2 linked regions of the Oryctolagus cuniculus genome follow. The protein of the gene in region 2 purifies or fractionates together with the protein of the main gene of each other region. This does not show direct contact. Links are inferred from orthologs where the notes say so. Each region holds a gene or a part of one and is shown on either strand. Other genes may lie near its edges. The genes, in order: NOL3 and CASP8.

The links.
Region 1: the proteins of CASP8 (region 2) and NOL3 purify together in Homo sapiens (affinity purification with western blotting; 3 studies listed by BioGRID and IntAct, with this or other methods). This does not show direct contact. The link is inferred for Oryctolagus cuniculus from reciprocal best matches to the Homo sapiens genes CASP8 and NOL3.

Annotation. Positions count from the first base shown.
Region 1 is NC_091449.1:50,464,734-50,468,638, reverse strand, and holds the start of NOL3 (nucleolar protein 3), read right to left. Parts: upstream 2,319-3,905; 5' UTR 2,035-2,318; exon of another isoform or gene 1,942-2,034; intron 87-1,941; exon of another isoform or gene 1-86. Other genes in the region: HSF4 (heat shock factor protein 4), read right to left, coding at 2,976-3,127, 3,339-3,408, 3,586-3,651, 3,751-3,856.
Region 2 is NC_091434.1:38,679,993-38,683,797, forward strand, and holds part of CASP8 (caspase-8), read right to left. Parts: intron 2,372-3,805; coding exon 2,307-2,371; intron 497-2,306; coding exon 355-496; intron 1-354. UniProt on the Homo sapiens protein: Thiol protease that plays a key role in programmed cell death by acting as a molecular switch for apoptosis, necroptosis and pyroptosis, and is required to prevent tissue damage during embryonic development and adulthood.

The sequences.
Region 1 (3,905 bases), on a different chromosome or scaffold from region 2:
TCTCCTTCCCAGGCTCCTCCTTCCCCTCACGTCAGCTCTGGGCCCTCCCCGCCTGAGCCCCGGGCTTGCAGGTGCCGTCACAGCTTATCCGCTTGAGCCTTTTTCTTTCCCAAAGCTGCTCCCGCCTCAACGGGAAGATAAACCGGATGCCCCACAGCCGAACCACACTCAGGGCCCCTCCCATCCGTCTCCTGAGTGGTTCTCTCACCGTGGCGCCCCTTAGTCCTACCGGGACCCTGCAGAACCCTGGACGGGGCTCCCTGCCTCCGTACTACCTGCTCGGGTTCCCTGGGCATCCACAGAACAAGGAGCTGAGGGCCCTGCCTGCTGCTGTCACCTTGCCCTGACCCTGAGGTCCAACTTCCCAGGACAGTCCCTGCCCCTGTCCCCTCACCGCCACCCCCACCTTGTTGCAATCCCTGCTTGGTTGCATGGCCCTTCCTGGCTCCCTGGCACCTGGGCAGAGCTACCTGAATCTTCTCCACCAGTATCTGACTTCATCTGAGACCCGGCAGTCTCCCTTCGGGCCTGGGCAGGACTCACAGCCATCTCTTCTTGCTTGATACTAAGTTCCTAAGGCCCAGCCCAGGAAAGCTACCCGTGACTTCTTGCCAGACCATCATTTTTTTTTTTTTTTTCTCCAAGGGAACTCCTCATTGTGACAGTGTCTCTACGAAACAGTAGGTATTCAGTGGAAATTAATGCATGGATGCTTCGTGCATTTATTGCCAAATCCCCTCAGGTGGCTGGGCTCAGCTAGCAAGGCCCTGGGCACTTAAGAGGCCAAGAGGTCAGCCTCGGCCGGCTCCCTGCCTCAGCCCATCCCTCTGCCTTGGCTCTGCTCATGCAGCAACGCCCCTGGTATCATGTCTTCCCTTGGTGACCCTCATCTGCTGCGGGCTCCATGAGGCTGGGCATCCTCTGGGAGAGGGGATTTAGTCCTCGCCCTCGTCCTGCCTCTCCTGGTGTGCGCTCACACTCTCCCGGCCTCCTGCCCCCACTCCCACGTGTGAGGGTCAGCTCTTGCCACCAAGTGAGCAGGCACCAGAACTACCCCCTGCCTCTCCCTGCCTGCCACATCTGTGACAGATTCTGCCCCGTGTCTCAGCCTCCCTCAGCTCCTGCCAGTGGAGCTCATCTGTAATGCCCCGCCCCCTCCATCCCACCACCCACACAACACAGTGACTGACAACCCTCTGGGGGAGGGCTTATTGTCCCAGCTTAGAGAGAGACTGTGTGGAGGACTAGAATGTATCGCTTCAGCCTGCACAATAGTGAGATCGCTTGGTGCCAGCTGCCCACCACAGAGAACCCAGGCTACCTGCTCTGGCTACTGTAGCCACCTCCCTCAGCCCTGACGGCCAGGTCCTTCCTCATTTCCCTTCACCATTCGGCCAGGCAGAGTGGTGTCACTATGTCCCGGGCACCTCTGAGCCTTTGCTGATGCTGTTCCCCAAGCCTGGCGTGCCCTTCCCCTCCCTCCACTTCTCCCAAGACTCAAATATTCCCTTGTCCACTCCAATGCCAGAGTGTCCCAAGGTAGTTCCTTCTTCCGGGTATCCCAGTGAGCAAGGCATACCCGCACTCCTGACCTTAACTAACATCCCTGCGCTGCGAAAACGCGGCTTTCGGACGGTCGGCCAACGGCGGGCACCGGGAGGGAGAGCGGAGCGGCACTTATTCTGGGTAACACGGAGGGGTGCGCAGATTGCGTCGCCCAGTCCTCCTGTCTCCCTCCTCTCTAACTTGCTTCATGTTAACCTCATTTCCCCGAGACCAGCCCTGTGCGTGCAAGGCGTGCGGAGCGGAGAGCCAGCAGCGCTCACAGCTCTAAGGTGAACCCCGAAGTTAAGGCAGGGGTCAGAGGCCAGATGCTTCCCAAGGCACCAGGCGGCGAGACGTGAAGCTGGCTCCCGCCCTCCCCCCACTCCCCATCCCCACCTGCTGCACCCTCCGGCTCTTCTGCTAGGCAGCCGGAGGTCGTGGGAAACAGCGGGCGCCTTTGCGCATGTGCGACCGCCCAGCTGCCCTTACCTCCCCAGCGCCCAGCGCCCAGCGCCGGAGCCGCCGAGTCCTGCGGCGGGGCGGGGCGGGGCTCACAGACCACCTTCGTGGCGGCTGCGGGTGGTGAGGCTGGTTCCGCCCAATCTGTTTCCCTTCCCGCCCCCAGCCGGGAGGAGCGGGGCTCCGAGTCGGGTCCGCTACGGGCGGCCCCGCTCACGGGTCGGGCCTCGGCGGGGCGGGAGATGACGGTGCAGAAAGGGCCGGGCGGGGTGGGGGTGGGAGCAACAGCTGCGACGGGGGCGGGACGGCCGGGGCTGCCGGGAATGGCGGGGGGCGGGGGCGTCCTTGCCCAGCACCTGGAGCCGGGCTCCGCTTGCCCGCGGGGCTCCCCGGGAGATGAGCTGGGGAGGAGGCAGTTGGGCCCGCACCCCACGTAGCCAGCGCCCACGCTGGGCCTGCCAGTTGTCAGTGCGCTTCACAGCTCTCCTCTCATCGACCTCCCTCCTCTCTGCTTGTCCCAGACGAGGCTCAGAGAAGGGGACCGACCGACTCGTGGTCACAGAGCGCTGCATCGCTGGGCAGGGTGCGTCCCAGAGGTTGCAGGGGCCACGCGTGAGCCCTGGATCCCGGCCTAAGTAAGAGGGTTGGCCCCCTCCCCGCTTCCCAAGTACCATGACTCTCTGGAGATTCTTCCATTAAAGCCCTAGCACCTGGACGCTTTTACGAATGCAAAGTTCCCCTTCCATCACCAGGACACCTGTGCTCCCTCCCTGGTCGACGGAGAAAAGAGAGCAGAAACACAGAAAAAAATGCAATTTATGTGCAGGGCTCATCAGGGTGCTGGAGAGAGGCCGCGGAGTCAAGGAGAGGGGGTTCACTCACCCCCCGCCAGGGGGCGCCAGGAAGCCGAGAGGGGGTGTGCCGCTGTGGACTGGTCCCTCAGCCAGCCCGGCTTCATTTGCTTGCAGGTTTCAAGGGGAAGGACTGGCCCCGGGGCCCAGGTAGGAGGCCCTGCTCTCAGGGGTGCTGTAAATGGTTAAAGCCCCAGGCAAGCCGAGAGCTGGGCCTCCCAAGGCCGCCTGGACATCCAGCAGGAGCGGGGCCCCCAGCGTAGGGTCCTTCCCTAGGAAGAGTGGGTTTGTGCTCAGCAGCCAGGAAAGGTTGCCCTTCCCACCACTCAGTGAGGATGAAACATTCCTAACCTCCTCCTCTCCTGCCATGGTGAGGGGGTGGCTGGACCAAGCCGGGGGGCTTCCCTGCAGAACACCCCCCCCCCCCCATCATGGTAACTTGCTCAGTCATGGCCTCCCTCAGGTCCTGAGTCACCACATTACCTGGGCCTGGAGAACTTAATCCCTTTACTGCCAGCTCACTCTCACCCCTCTCTGGAACCAACGGCTGCATCTGCAAGAGAGAACCCCAGGAAGTAGCTGGGCAGGGAGCCAGTGGCTGAGGGGGAGAGCTGGGGACCCCCAGCCCCGGGCAGGCCTCTGCCAATATGGCTTTGGCCCACAAAAAAGCACGGACCAAAGGGTGAGAGTCCACAACCCCAGACCCCTACCATCCCCTCCCTCATCTTACCAGGGACAGCTCCATGTCTAAGTCCATCAAGGTCCATTCTCTGCCTTGGAGGCTGGGGCCCAGCACCTGGGGAGCACGCCAGGTTAGTGGTGCCCTCCCCGTACTGCCCAGACAGCTGGGCCCTGGGGGTTCTCCTGCCCGTGCCCCAGCCAAAGGGGTACTCACATCCAGGGGTCCTGCAGGCTCCACACCTTCAGGAGGGGCCCTGAGCAGCATTGGAGGCAGCAGACTCTCTGGGCTCCTGTCCCCCCTCTCCAGGCCCAGAGGCCCCCTGTGCACAGAGAATCGCTATTGCCCTGCAGTGCCCACCCCCTATTAGG
Region 2 (3,805 bases):
CGTTTTAATTTTTAAAAGATGGGTATAGGGGCTGGCACTGTGGTGTAGCAGGCTAAGCCTCTGCCTGCGGCACCAGCATCCCATATGGGTGCCAGTTCAAGTCCCAGCTGCTCCATTTCTCATCCAGCTCTCTGCTGTGGCCTGGGAAAGCAGTGCAAGATGGCCCAAGTGCTCGGGCACCTGCACCCCCATGGGAGACCCAGACAAAGCTCCTGGCTCCTGGCTTTGGATCGGCACAGCTCCAGCCGTTGCAGCCATCTGGGGAGTGAACCAGCGGACAGAGACCTCTCCCTCTCTCTGCAACCCCACCTCTGGGTACGAGGATACTTCACCTCTGTCTTTCGGGTTCTGTACCTGCATCAACTTCTGTTCCTTTCCTGTCTTTCATGTTGCGGTGTCTGGGCATTTCTCTCCGTGCTATGCTAAAATCGTAGTTGTTGACGATCAAACAGTATCCCCGAGGTTTGCTTTTCATTTGGTAAACTTCTTCTGATGTCTGGAAAACAAAAACCCAACCCAGGGGCTGACTGCGGGTCAAACACAACCATCTAAAGAGACAATGCCCTGGGAAGAGTTGCCCTGGGAAGCGAGTGTGGTCTCCCCTGCCCTCTGCCAGCTGGGGCTCATCTCCCTGCAGACCCAGTTCCCATCCAGAACCCTTCCCACAGTTCTAAAGCCACTAGTCCTGTCCTGGGCCCGGTCAGCTCTTTGCACATCAAAAAGGTTGTGGAATAATAGAATTAAAAGAGAAGTTTGTCTTGGTGCCCAAAATTTTTGGAACCCATGCATAGTCTTTTCATAAAACACATTTCCTCTGAGCTTTAAGAAGATCTTTCACACACACGAGTTTCAGAAATATTGGCACCAAAACAAATTTAGTTTTTAATTCCATCTTCCATATACTTGCTGAAGTACTCTCACACTAACATTGCTGTCACCATGTCGTAGGATCATCAGTTATTCTATCTGCTTCCTTCACTGAACAGAAATGTCCTCAGACAGGTAACATCTGTGCCAGAAGCCAGCATTTATTCATTTAGAACTCCATCAAGAGTGAATGAATGAATGAATGAATGTCTCTGGGCTGCCCTGCCATGACCTTGTGATTATCTGGGCTGGGCTTCTTGGCTAACCCCTGAGAGCCTGACCCTCACACAAGACTCAATGTGACCCCAGGGATTTGAAAGCTATTGGCTTAACCCTTCTCTTGGGACGGCAGCATCAGGGGAGGGTACCACGACCGCAGTGCCTGACAGTACAGGCAGAGCTGGCCCTGGGTCGTGCTCATCTTCCTAGGGCTGGTTCAGCGCTAAGAATCTCAGAACTTAGTTGGAAATCTACACAGCCCCTTAAGGCAGGTAAAGGACTCCAGGCTAGGAATCAAATTCCTGGTTGTTGCCTTTCCTAAATGTAACACTTTGGGCTAAAGTTATCTGATTTCTTAGTATCTTAGTTTGCTAAGACCGTACACGCTTTATGAAGCACCTGCTAAGATCGTCATTTATAATTTACTATTCCAGGTGCTCATTATTTACTCTGCACAGTACATAGATTTTCTAAGACATTAAATTTGAGCATGGTTAGCTGTTCCGAGGGAGTACGCTGGTGGAACCTGAGACCACTCACAGAGTACCCGGTACTTCAGGGACTCCTTCGTGGTCCAGACTGAGAGGACGCTGTGGTAATCTTCTCAGACACGCACACTGGTAAAGACCCCTGTCAAGCTTGACCCTGGCAGCCGTGTGCCTCAGCCTCCCGCCACCCGGAGGAGAGACCCGGTCAGTGAGTGGGAAGGTACTCCGTGAGCTGCGGAAGGTTACACACACAGCAAGTATTGCGCTACTGTGTCGAGAAAACAAAGTTCTCCACTGGCTCCTTGAGACGACAGAGACGGCTGGATGCCCTATGGGCTGCTTGTTCCTAACCACCCAGAGGAACACCTCTGGCAGGTCAAGCAGGAAGCAAAGGTCTGCTCGTTCCAGTGGGGCTGGATGCTCCTCCCAAGTCCTGACCTTGCTGCCCCGTGAGGTGTGGGGCCTCCACCCCCCCACCCTCCAGCCATCCCCAATTCCTTTGTCCTTCGCTTTAACATAAAAAATGAATGCATTGAAAACTGAAGAGGTTGCACTCAAAAAAAATCATGGCACATTTTTAATTTCTCCTGTGGATTTTTTTTTAACCATTCTCAAAATTGTCAGTGTCTGCCCTTTACTGGTTTATCTGGCAGTTGAAAGAAAAATCGACCAACCAGTCAAATAACCCAATCTGCTGTGCAGAGGGAGAAAGGTTCAGAGGTTTCCACGCACCTGTGCCTTGCTCACTGGCTCCCCTGGACAGTCTGACAGTGCCAGCACTCCATATGGCTCCTCCCCTACAAGCAAGCAGAGACACCTACAATGAGACATGGCAGGAAAAGCACTTGGGTAAAGAAGCCTACAGAACCTCCTAGAACAACTGAGGTACTTTTTTTTTTTTTTTTTTTTTTTGAAAGGCAGAGTTAGAGGAAGAGAGAGAGGGAGGGAGAGAAAGATCTTTCATGTACTAGTTCACTCTTCAAATGGCCCTATCGGCCAGGGTTAGGCCAGGTCGAAGCCAGGAGCCAGGAGCTTCCTCCAGGTCTCTCATGTGGGTGCAGGGGCCCCAGCACCTGGGCCATCCCCCACTGCTTTCTCAGGCCATTAGCAGGGAGTTGGATTGGAAGTGGAGCAGCCAGGGCAGGAATCGGTGCCCACGTGGGATGCCTGACTGCAGGGAGTGGTTTAACCCAGAGAGCCACTTCCAGCCCCGAGGTACTTTCTCCAATGAGAACTCACAGACTGCCTGAACAGAAGCTCCGGCTTCCGAAACACAGGCTTCAACCATCATCACCAGAGGGAAAACTGTGACCAGGCAAGCAGCGCCGTACCTCTGTACTCCTCCATGTGGGCAGCTTGAATGCTGTGCATTCGTGAGATATTTATGAACAGAACCATTAGCTCAGCAGGAATGACTGATTCAAAAGCATTTCGCTCCTCAAAGTACTCTGAAAGTCTCAGACTCAAGCACACAGCGGAGAGAGGAAGGACTGGCCATGTGGACATTGTGCAGGCTTAATCTTGGAGAGTGACCCAAAAGCATGGATTGTACACACAGACACACACATGCACACACACACACATGCACACACACACACCATGCACACACCACAAGAAGCCAGGATGTCTTTAAAAAAAAAAAAAAAGGCGGGGAAGGGAGGCAGCATTGTGGCGTAGTAGGTTAAGCCTCTGCATGTGACGCCAGCATCCCCTATGGGCTCCAGTTCAAGTCCCGGCTACACCACTTCTGATCCAGCTCCCTGCCAATGTGCCCAAGAAAACAGCACAAGATGCCAAGTGCTTGGGTTCCTGCACCTACATAGGAAACCTAGAAGCAGCTTCTGGCTTCTGGCCCCTGGCTGCAGCCTGACCCAGCCCTGGCTGTTGCTGGCATTTGGGGAGTGAACCAGCAGATGGAAGATCTCTCTCTCTCTCTCTCTCTCTCTCATTCTCCTCTTTCTGTAATTCTGCCTTTCAAGTAAATTTTTTTAAAAAGCCAGCACAACAAGACAACAAAAATATTAATATTAATGTCTATGGGGTGGTAGTTTTACTGGGTTTTTCAATTTTTTCTGAGTCTAGAATCATCTTCTGTGAGTATATATAGCTTTTTTTTTTTTTTTTTTGACAGGCAGAGTGGACAGTGAGAGAGAGAGACAGAGAGAAAGGTCTTCCTTTGCCGTTGGTTCACCCTTCAATGGCCACTGCAGCTGGCGCTATGCAGCCGGCAC